2 linked regions of the Schizosaccharomyces pombe genome follow. The gene in region 2 interacts genetically with the main gene of each other region. Each region holds a gene or a part of one and is shown on either strand. Other genes may lie near its edges.

Region 1 (6,168 bases), 4.0 Mb from region 2:
GAAGAATGCAAATCTTATGAGCAAGGCTCATACCTAATAGGAATTAGTAAGACCCAGCAAACCGGAGCGAACGCCTTTCGTAAGTACTCTAAAGTTCTTTATTTATGTATAGTGCGAAAGAAGGCAATCTTACAATAGGTTATTATTAGTCGCTATTTAGTAAACATCTAAAATGGCTGAAATCTAATATAGGACACATTCGATTAAAAGGAATTAATTGAAATATTGATAATTTGAATTTCAAATAAAAAATCACAAATACTCAGAATACTTATAAGGGGCCATTCATACGCTCGCATCAAATTATGTTGCTGATGCAATTGATACTTCACAAAGGTACTCAACGAGTATAGATTAAATGGATTTATAGTGGATTCTATACAATGAAACACATAAAACAATAACATGCACTACTGAATTCATTCTTATAAAATTCACCGGCAGGAAAACTAACGCACTTTCCTGACGTTAACGATTATTAACGAGACTAAAGTTAAATAACATTTAATGAAGACAAACTGGTAACTAAACTCTCCATTACTTTTGCATTCAATATGATCGAAGTTTTATGGTATGTTTGACTTATTTTACTTTCTGGGAGCATTGAAATTGGAAAACATAAAGCTCTAACTAAATTTTAGTAACGATCGTCTAGGGAAAAAAGTACGCGTAAAATGTATGCCTGATGACACAGTTGGAGATTTTAAAAAACTTGTTGCAGCTCAGACCGGTACAGATCCAAGGTAAGGATTAAATTCATCATTTGTTAAAAAAATGTTAACAAAAAAATAGAAGGATCGTCTTAAAAAAATGGCACAGCGTCTTTAAGGATAACATCACATTAGCCGACTATGAAATACACGATGGAATGAGCTTGGAGATGTATTATTCTTAAAAAGCGAAACTTTTATTTTCTTAAAAAATAATATACTTGGAAGTTTTATGTTAACGAAAGTAGCAAATTGACTTTAAACTTGTTTAATGAAAATCTGATGGATAGAGTTATATTGTTGAGCAGATTTGTTAAGTTTTTTACAAAGGAAATTTGGTTTATTATTTTCAATTTTTTTCAATTCACCTTCGAAGGTTTTGTATTTACCTGTTCAAACTACTAAATAAATAATGATTTTTCGTTGAAATGCTATCTTTTTGAGTCTAATAATTTGGATACTTTTTTATCTTTCAAATTGCTTACCTCCCCAAATTGTGATATAAGTCAGCTAGACAATGATAATAATATTGTTTTCTAGCTGCCATATCAATAGTTGTTCATCAAGCCTTTTACGCTTCTAGTCAAGTGTAACCGCTTTAAAAATGGAAACCAGTATGTTTATTCTTAATATGAATGGATTTTTCAAATTCAAATTTACCATTAAATTTACAAGGCTTATATCTTGTCATGGGTAGGACCAATTTCCTAGGTTCATGACCGTTTATGAAATTATGTCTTCAATGCTTCGTATTTATTCATCATACCAAGGAAGATGAAACAAATTATCAAGGAAAAGAGGGATTCCGAATTATATTAGTATAAAGCTTTATAATGTTACGCCACTGTTTTATTTCTTAGCCCTGCTTTCTTCTGAATGTAATATTTTTTTTTTTTTTTAAGAAAATAATTCTTTGAAACAGGTTTTAAACATTTTTAGTAATGATGAAACTCAATTGACCTGCTTTTCAAAAAATCAGAAAATTCATTAACATGAAAAAATTTCAGATATGTATTGGTTACCAAAAAATCATCTACGGGAGTATTCAATTTTTTTAAAACTATTCTCTGAATTGATTATACTTCTTTTACATTTTGGAGTTGTAATAGCTTGACTCAGAAGTATCTGCTAAGCCTCCATCTTTACTCAAGCTAACCTTTCCCAACTTGTCATCCAGACGATCACCTTCGTTGGTCTAAGCTTACCAGTCTAAAAGGTCGAAACAAAAGTACTGCTTTATTCTTTGAGAATATAAACAAGTGTTGTTCAAAGTTCTAAGCCAGGATTTGCGTTTTTGTATGCTGGGTCTGTTGGTATTTAACCAGAGACGTGCTAGGTTCATAAGTCCGATTTTCTAGGACTTTCTTTTGAAACGTTCTAACAGTGAGCTTGGACAGTTTATAAATTCTTTTTTTATTTCTCACGGGTTCCTTTCAACATTTCTTTGGATTTTATGAGTGATAAGTGGATATTGTTCATTGTCTAGATTAATTGTTGGTAAATTCATCTATCTCTTAATTTTCAACATTGGAAAGTATATTCTTTGTGCTGAGCATTTAGGAATCCTTTACATCTTAAATACTTGCTTTTATACTGGCGTTTTAGAAAGTATCGAATAGCAGTGTCTTTTTTTTTTTTTTGTTTACAAGATTTTTTATTTTTACATTACCCCAACTTTCTTTTACTACTTTTTCTCGTTTTTGTTTTTGTATGAAACAGTTCCATAATGAGTGTTCAATATGATGCATTCAGTGTTGAGCAAACTTGTGCGGATTTAGAAACTGACATGTATAATGGCCTCTCTAGTCTCCAGGAGATCACGCGACGTAACAAGGTTCATGGAGATAATGATTTGAAGGTAGAAGATGAAGAAAACATGGTGGTTCAATTTCTTAAGCAATTTGTTAAAGATCCCCTAATTCTTTTGCTTTTTGCAAGTTCTGCAATTTCGGTGACATTGGGTAATATAGATGATGCTATTAGCATCGCTTTAGCTATAGTTATTGTCGTGACTGTTGGATTTGTTCAAGAGTATCGATCTGAGCAATCTTTAAAGGCGCTGAATAACCTTGTACCTCATTATTGCAATGTTATCCGGTCCGGAAAAACGGAGCATATTGTTGCTAGTAAATTGGTTCCTGGAGATTTAGTTATCTTACAAATTGGTGATCGTGTTCCTGCTGATCTGCGAATCGTTGAAGCTACCGAGTTGGAAATTGATGAATCAAATCTAACAGGGGAAAACTCGCCACGAAAGAAGAGTAGCGAAGCTATATCTTCAAACATATCTCTTACTGAAAGAAATAACATAGCTTTTATGGGTACCCTCGTTCGTCATGGTCATGGGAGAGGAATAGTTGTCGCTACTGGATCTGATACGGAATTCGGTCGTGTTTTCCTTACTATGCAGCAAACTGAAAAACCAAAGACGCCATTGCAGAACAGTATGGATGACTTAGGCAAGCAACTCTCTTTAATCTCTTTAATTGGTATTGCCGTCATTGTGCTTGTTGGTTTTTTCCAAGGTAAAAATTGGTTAGAAATGCTTACAATTGGAGTTAGTTTGGCTGTCGCCGCTATTCCTGAAGGTCTTCCAATTATCGTAACAGTCACCCTTGCTTTAGGCGTGTTACGCATGTCTAAGAAGAGGGCTATTATCCGTCGGTTACCCAGTGTTGAAACTTTGGGAAGTGTTAACGTTATTTGTTCGGACAAGACTGGTACTCTAACAATGAACCATATGACAGTTACTAAAATTTATACATGTGGAATGTTAGCAGCTTTCTCCTTACCAGAAAGTGAACATATAGAGCTAAGTGTTAGGCGCACTGTTGGTATCGAAAAGGCACTTCTAGCTGCTGCTTTATGCAACAATAGTAAAGTTCATAACAAAGCTGATTCTATTTTGGACACTACTTGTCCCTGGGCTGGATTTCCAGTTGATGTCGCTTTAATCGAATGTTCTGAGCGATTCGGGTTGAAGGATCCTCGTGAAACGTACAGTCGTATATCTGAGGTTTCATTTAGCAGTGAGCGCAAATACATGTCTGTTGCTGTCCAATACAACTCTAGCAAAATGAATTTCATGAAGGGAGCCACTGAACAAGTGCTGTCAAGTTGTGCATATTTTAGCGATCAGGATGGTGTTCAACACGAGCTTACTGCGGAAATGAAGGAGAACATTCAACGTAACGAGTTTGAAATGGCTGCTTCGGGACTCAGAATTATAGCTGTTGCCAGTGGTATAAATACCAATAAACTTGTATTTCATGGTCTTTTTGGCATCAACGATCCCCCTCGACCCCAAGTCCGCGAAAGTGTACAATATCTAATGACTGGAGGGGTTCGAGTTATTATGATTACAGGTGATAGCGTTGTTACTGCAATAAGCATCGCTAGAAGTTTGGGTATGGCTATTCCTAGTAATGACGAAGAAGCAATTCGTAACTATGCGCTGACTGGAGCTCAGTTAGATGATCTTGATTCTTCCTCTTTACGTGATGCCGTTTCCCGTGTAGTAGTCTTTGCAAGAACTACACCTCAACATAAAATGAAAATTGTTGAAGCCCTTCAAAGCCTTGGTGATGTTGTGGCTATGACTGGTGATGGCGTAAACGATGCACCTGCCCTCAAACTTGCAGACATTGGTATAGCAATGGGTCGACAAGGTACGGATGTTGCCAAAGAAGCGGCTGATATGATTCTTACCGATGATTCTTTTGCGACTATTTTGAGTGCTGTTGAGGAAGGTAAGGGAATATTCAATAACATTAAAAATTTCATTACTTTCCAATTGTCTACGAGTGTGGCTGCTCTTTCATTAATCGCCATTTCGTCTGTTTTCGGCTTCCAAAATCCCCTCAATGCCATGCAAATTCTTTGGATCAATATTCTAATGGATGGACCCCCTGCACAAAGTCTCGGAGTAGAGTCAGTTGATGAAGACGTGATGATGAAACCTCCTCGTCCAAGGAATGCTCCTATTATATCAGTTCAGCTTTTACAACGTGTTTTACTCAGTGCATTTATAATAGTTACTGTCACTATTGTGGTATTTAGAGTACAAATGCAAGACGGCAATGTAACAGCTAGAGATACTACTATGACTTTTACTTGTTTTGTTTTCTTCGATATGTTTAATGCTTTAGCATGTCGTTCCGAAACAAAATCGGTTTTCAAGCTTGGTATTTTCTCTAATAGAATGTTCAATATCGCAGTCGGAGGCTCATTAATTGGTCAAGCCTTGGTAGTTTATGCTTCCCCCTTTCAGCGTATTTTTCAAACTGAAGCTATTGGACTTAAAGATGTTCTAATATTGTTAGCTTGTACCAGTTCTGTTCTCTGGGTTGACGAAATTCGCAAATGGTATCGTCGCCGTAAAGGTCTTGTTAGAACAAAGAGCAATTATCTGCTAAGGAATGTATAAATGATACGTTTTGCGGTAACAAGTTGCATATCTTTGTGCTAAGTTTAAAATTACTTAAGGAGCTTTACTATTATTTTGTGAATACAAAATTCCAATGCTATATGTATTTAAAAAATTCCTGTATTTTATTAATTTTTTGACTAATGATTATTAGCTTTCCGCTGGTTTCTTATTCTTATGGCACAAAAGGGGTTTGCTTCTCTGCCATGAAGTACTCGAGTCTATACCATTCGTTTAAAAGCTTTCATCGTTACTTTTCATTTCAGTTTTTTTTTTCGAAAATCCTGTATCTTGGTTAATTTTCAAGCACTTAGTATGTTCAGGCTTTATTATTCATCACCTTGATGCAGTCCTCACTGGTTAGTCTTAAAACCAAATTATATGATTTTATTCTGACTAAAGGTTAATCTAAAACATATTAGTTGTAGTTTCTATATAGAAACAAATAATAAAGGCTTATCAAAATTAAAGGTTTTAAAATCGGTTGTCGCTTTTCATCATTTAATTAATGCAAAAGAAAAATTATACGAGATTAAACAGCCGCGTTGCTCTAAATTGTTTTTGTATCATTATATCTTGTGCTGTTTCAAAGTCAGTTTATACATGTTTATTGAACAGTTGATTCATGTGACCGACTCGCCTTAAGTAATTTTTCTTGTCATTAACGTTTGGTCTTCAATGAGTAAATTTTCCATTCATTAGATTGTCACAAGATGTTGGCATTATTGTTTTTATTTCGTGTACATCAACGCTATCGTCGCATATTTGTCGTCCCACTACCAAAATCTGAATGAGGCAAATAAGTGTGAGATAGACACAAATTTGAACCCGAAATTCAATTAAGCAAAGGAGGATGATGAGGTTACCCTCATGGCTTAAAAATTCTTCCTCTTGGCTCTGGACGGCGGCGTTATCAAGGACTGTTCAACGTCGACTATTAGCATTTGCCTTGAGAAAGCTTATTGGATCCATTCTTTTAGAAAATGTGCAGCCTGAGGATATAGACATCCTTTTTTCAAAAGGGGTCCTAAT
Region 2 (5,050 bases):
TCTTGTACGGGATTATTATTCACTTGATGAATTGATGGAAATGAGCGATTTGCGCAAAGGTGGTTTCTGGGAAAAATTTGGAAAGGCTTTCAAGGGGAAAGATGCCGAAAAAAAGAACGTGAAAAAGAAAGGTACCTTTGGGGTGCCATTGGAGATTCTTGTTGAGCGTAATAACGCTCAGTCGACGGTTGGAACAGGCGTGGGTGTCAAGCATATTCCTGCCTTTATTGGGAATACATTGGCTGCTATGAAAAGAAAAGATATGTCAGTAGTTGGTGTATTTAGAAAGAACGGAAATATACGTAGGTTAAAAGAGCTATCTGACATGCTCGATGTTTCTCCGGATTCAATTGATTATGAGCAAGAAACACCCATTCAGTTGGCTGCTTTATTGAAAAAATTCCTTAGAGAGCTTCCTGATCCTCTTTTAACTTTCAAGTTATTTGGGTTGTTCATTACGTCTTCAAAGTTGGAGTCTGAGGAAGAACGCATGAGGGTTTTGCATCTTACAATATGTTTACTACCCAAGGGACATAGAGACACTATGGAGGTAATTTTTGGCTTTCTATATTGGGTTGCCTCTTTTTCCCACATCGATGATGAGGTGGGAAGCAAAATGGATATTCATAATCTTGCTACCGTAATTACTCCGAACATATTATATTCCAAAAGCAACGATCCTGTTGACGAAAGTTTCCTTGCCATCGAGGCTGTTCATCTGTTGATTGAGAACTTTGAGAAATTTTGTGAAGTCCCTCGAGAAATTAGTCTTTTATTAGATGATCCTACTCTTTTTTATAATAATGCGGCTTGGACATCTAAAGAACTATATAAAAGGTGTGAAGAAATAATTTCTCAGATGAGTCTTGACGAACGGAATACTCCAAAACATACGGCGTCTACAAAGAGGAAAAGGCAACCTATAAGAAGAGTTACAACTAATTTAACGTCAGACGTGCCTTCTGGTTCTGAAGTTGCTGACACAAATTCGCTTTCATCTACCACTAAAGATGAAGCTTCACCTAACAGCGATGCTCAGCCTAAACCTCAAGTTAAACCTCAGCATGCAGTCATTAGGGATTCCTAATTTATCGATACACAATCCCATTTGTCTTTTTTTGTTTTATCATATTTTCAATTTTTACTGAACATTAGATCAGCTACGAAAGTAGAAAGCTCGGTCTGGTACCGCTTACAACTTTGTCGTGTTGAATTCGATGGGATGATGGTACTTTAATAATCGTTCTTTTAATAAAAGGTTACTTGGCTAAAATAATATTTCAGGCAAATATAACTTTCGTTTAATATTTGAAGTCATGAATAACAATCCTTCTCCCAGAATTGTTTTAATAAAATCCTTTACTATATGTTGATTTTTCCGCGTAATAATGTAACATAAAATCATTTTGTTCAATTTATGCTTCTTTTTTGTTACGCAAATCAGTAGAAAGTTTACTTGAAATGTGTAGCAAGCGACCAAGAGTCCATAAGTAAATAGTAAAAAATCCGGCAAATGAAAGCGTAACATTAAGAATGACCCATAAATCGGGGTAACGGGATGGTGGTGGGATAAACAGATCAATTCCCAAAATAACAATCATACCAACATAAAAAGACTGCATCCAGTTAATACACCTGGCATAAAAAAATAGCAAATAATAAAAATAGTCTTACCAGTTGGATGAACCGAAAAAGGACGTTTTTTGAGAAAACTACCATGTCACCAATCCAATTCCACATTAATACTAATGTGAAGTATTGTAAACCAAGACCATCTTTTTTCAGTAACGGCCATAAGCTAATAAAAATATTAGTATAATTTAAACAGTAAATATGTATATTTTACCTGAAAACAGCAAGATTGTTTGCTAGAGCAATCCATGGTTTGGTTGTAATGTTTCCGTGACATAAGAGAATAGAAGTGGGAAGTAAAGGAAGAAGAACCGACTTTTCATGAACTTGGAAAGAGAACAAAAAAAACCCCCATGATGCACTTGCGAAACCCAGAGCTAAAAGACGTTTACGAGGATAAAGAAATAATATAACACAAGATGGGAGAATAGAAATGAGAGTAAAAATCAAGCTAATTACTTGGAGTTGATGTAAAGTAAACACCTCTCTAATTTTGAAAACAGTGTTGAGGGTGCACCAGAAATTAGCAACTTTATCTTCCCAAAGACCACGAGCAAACGGGAACACTCGATGAAGAATTTGAGGAAGCAATGTTTTATAGTCCATGTAAATCCATGGAAATAATATTAAGGAAAACGTAAAAACAACTGTGACTGACAACAAGATAAATCTTGAGAAACGAATCTTTGGCTTTACACAAGTTCCCAATAAGTAAAAAAAAATAGGAGGAGCAAAATATAGAGCCATCTGTTTAAACGTAAGAGCTAAACAGAAAAAAAACGTAGCAGCTACATATTGGTTTTTAAGCAAATTAGCGATTGCATACATAACTAAACCCAGCATAACACAGTTGTACTGAAAATGACCATGATCAATTAAGAGTAAAGCAGGTTGAAAAAGGACCATAATTAGGCTAGCATTTCTGTCCACAAAATTAGGTATACGGCGCGACCACCATTTGGAGTAAAACATTAAAGGGGGAACGAGTATTAGAAGATGAGATGCAATAACAGTAGATCTCATGAATAATTTTAATTCAAGACTTTCAAATCCACGAGATGTGACATCAGCAAACCATTCGGGGTTGAAAAAATAATGCCCAATTATACCAAAGAACCAAGAAACATATGCTGTTAAAGGAGGATAATCTAATCCCCACCATTGCAAATCTCTAAAATACCATTGAGACACAGGAGTATGCAATGTTAGTTCCATCCAATGTCTTTGCGCTTCAAAATCGCCATACATAGGAGGTGTATTATACCCAGAATAAGGACCGATAGATATAAGCCATTGCATGAAAACTAAACTCATTATAAGGCATGGAAAAAATAAAAATTTAGATGAATAGGATCGAAAACGAGAAACGAATTGTTGAACGGGAGCCCCATTCTCAAACTCAGATAGCATGTTTTAAGCGGCCGTCAAACGGTAAGGATTTCGCTTTAAAACTTTGGGTTTCTAAATTAAAATATCCAACTTGGAAAGCTTAAAGATTAAAAAACGAGTGAATTTGTATCCGGAATGTTTTAAACAAGGAAAAGCTAATTCAAAGCAGATACAAGTTGGGATAACAGTGAAATGGGTTGGGAACCACGAAGTGGACTATGGGTCCACCATTGCGATCATCGTGAAATATGGTTTTATAATGTCCAAAAAAATCAATTCACTTTTTAATTCATTCTTTCTTTCTTATTTTTTATTTTCAGTTTCAAAGCCTAAAAATTAAATACGCGCAAAGTTATCACTACATAATTGATCCAAGGGTGAGCAATAACATAAAAAATGAGTTGATAAACATGAAAATTAAGCTGTATCACTTATTGACTGATTTACTTTTCTCTTAAGATAGGTAAATGTTAGAATAAATTGAGCTTGGCAAGTTAGGAGTTTGTTTCAGTGATACTAGCCCATTAAATTCAATGAACTGAAATATATTACTTAATTGTTTGCTGTTTAATAATTTAGCTCTAACGAAAATCTTATTAGCAAAGAACATGCTAAGAAAAATAATTCCCTTAATACATTTACTATGTAATTGATCTCGAATTTGTAGCTGCAATTAAGAGCTTTGAAATTTTAAAAGTCTTTTCGTTCATGATAATTTCTAAAGAAAACCCTTGTTGGGCTAAAAAAAAAAGCGACGGTTTGACGAAAAATCATGCTTTTAAAACCAGAATTCATAATAATATTGTAAAATTATTTCTTGGTCTGTTACAGTTTTAAGTAAAAGCAAGCATTATCCTAATATTTTCTTTTTGCGTTGATGGAACACTGTGAAATCTCCATTATTTGTATAATTTTAAGCGATATTTACTAATCATATGTTTAGTTTAATTTTTTGTAAAACGATTTGAAATAGAAACTGAAGTTGTATAGTTACTAACATTATTTGCATTCTCGCATTGTTTGTATATTGTTTACTCTTCAGAATAATTTCAATATTTATGCTTAAGCTAAATGAAATATTTTCAAGGACTCACAAATAGTTATTTATATATTTTATGAAAATTTAAAACCTAATTAGATTAAATTTAATTAAAATACCCAAAAGTACATTCGTTTGAGAAGAGATACCAGATTGAATGAATAAAAACATACTAACTGCTTGGCGGGCAAATGAAATTCATTTGTACACTACAGTGGTTGATGCTGTTTTTAAAATCTAAACTTTTATAGCAATAAAGAATCATCCTCCCTTGAGTATTAAAGTGAAAGCAAAAAAGCCTTACTAGGCAAGAGCTTAGAACCGATAAACAACTATTCATTTAAAGGAAAAAAACAAAGATTCGGAAAGCATTTTGCGTTCTCTATTTTTTTAAAAAAAATTAAAAATATCTCAAAAGCGCAAAAGTGTGAATTCCTGTTTTAATTTTCAAACCGTAAACAAAATGTTTTAAATTTTAATTTAATACTGAAACTACTTTTATTAACTTAACGATTTTTAAGATTAGTTCCCTACTCCGCTGTTATGCAGATTAACGCAATGATAGGAGCTTATCACATGAATTGAAAGATAATAACAGCTTTATTAAAAACTTAACCGTACCCTCTCATTTTTCATCGCGTTTGCTGTTATTGCAATACTTATACATTTTTTGGAGGGAAGTTTTATTATACTAAAATGGACCAGGATTATGAGGAGTTACGTGCCAAGTTTACAAAAATAGGATTAAATGAAACAACGGTAAAAGATACGTTAAAAAATAAAAAGCTTTCTTCTTCATTAAATAAGGTCATTGAGGAAACTAACGTTGGTTCTTCGGGATGTGATAGAACAATTGGAAATTTGCTATTTACATTGGCCAACGCTTCTTTAAAACAAAAAGACCCGAAATCCAATGCTCATGAGGCATTCATAGCTTCCAAAATTGTATCTGGAGACTTAAAAACAAACCTCCAAGTCAATGCGGCTATT

The links.
Region 1: mutations in alg6 (region 2) and pmr1 impair growth when combined (synthetic growth defect), as found in Schizosaccharomyces pombe (one large-scale study listed by BioGRID).

The regions. Positions count from the first base shown.
Region 1 is NC_003423.3:239,338-245,505, reverse strand, and holds pmr1 (P-type calcium transport ATPase Pmr1), read left to right. Parts: upstream 1-1,863; 5' UTR 1,864-2,436; coding exon 2,437-5,136; 3' UTR 5,137-5,668; downstream 5,669-6,168. Other genes in the region: ubiquitin-like protein modifier Hub1, read left to right, coding at 555-571, 642-743, 793-895; autophagy-associated protein Atg2, read left to right, coding at 5,993-6,168. UniProt on the Schizosaccharomyces pombe protein: Transports calcium and manganese ions into the cell. Regulates cell morphogenesis through control of manganese and calcium homeostasis.
Region 2 is NC_003423.3:4,198,661-4,203,710, forward strand, and holds alg6 (glucosyltransferase Alg6), read right to left. Parts: upstream 3,211-5,050; 5' UTR 3,043-3,210; coding exon 1,847-3,042; intron 1,799-1,846; coding exon 1,675-1,798; intron 1,617-1,674; coding exon 1,416-1,616; 3' UTR 1,088-1,415; downstream 1-1,087. Other genes in the region: Rho-type GTPase-activating protein Rga1, read left to right, coding at 1-1,087; glutaminyl--tRNA(Gln) ligase Qrs1, read left to right, coding at 4,757-5,050. UniProt on the Schizosaccharomyces pombe protein: Probable dolichyl pyrophosphate Man9GlcNAc2 alpha-1,3-glucosyltransferase that operates in the biosynthetic pathway of dolichol-linked oligosaccharides, the glycan precursors employed in protein asparagine (N)-glycosylation.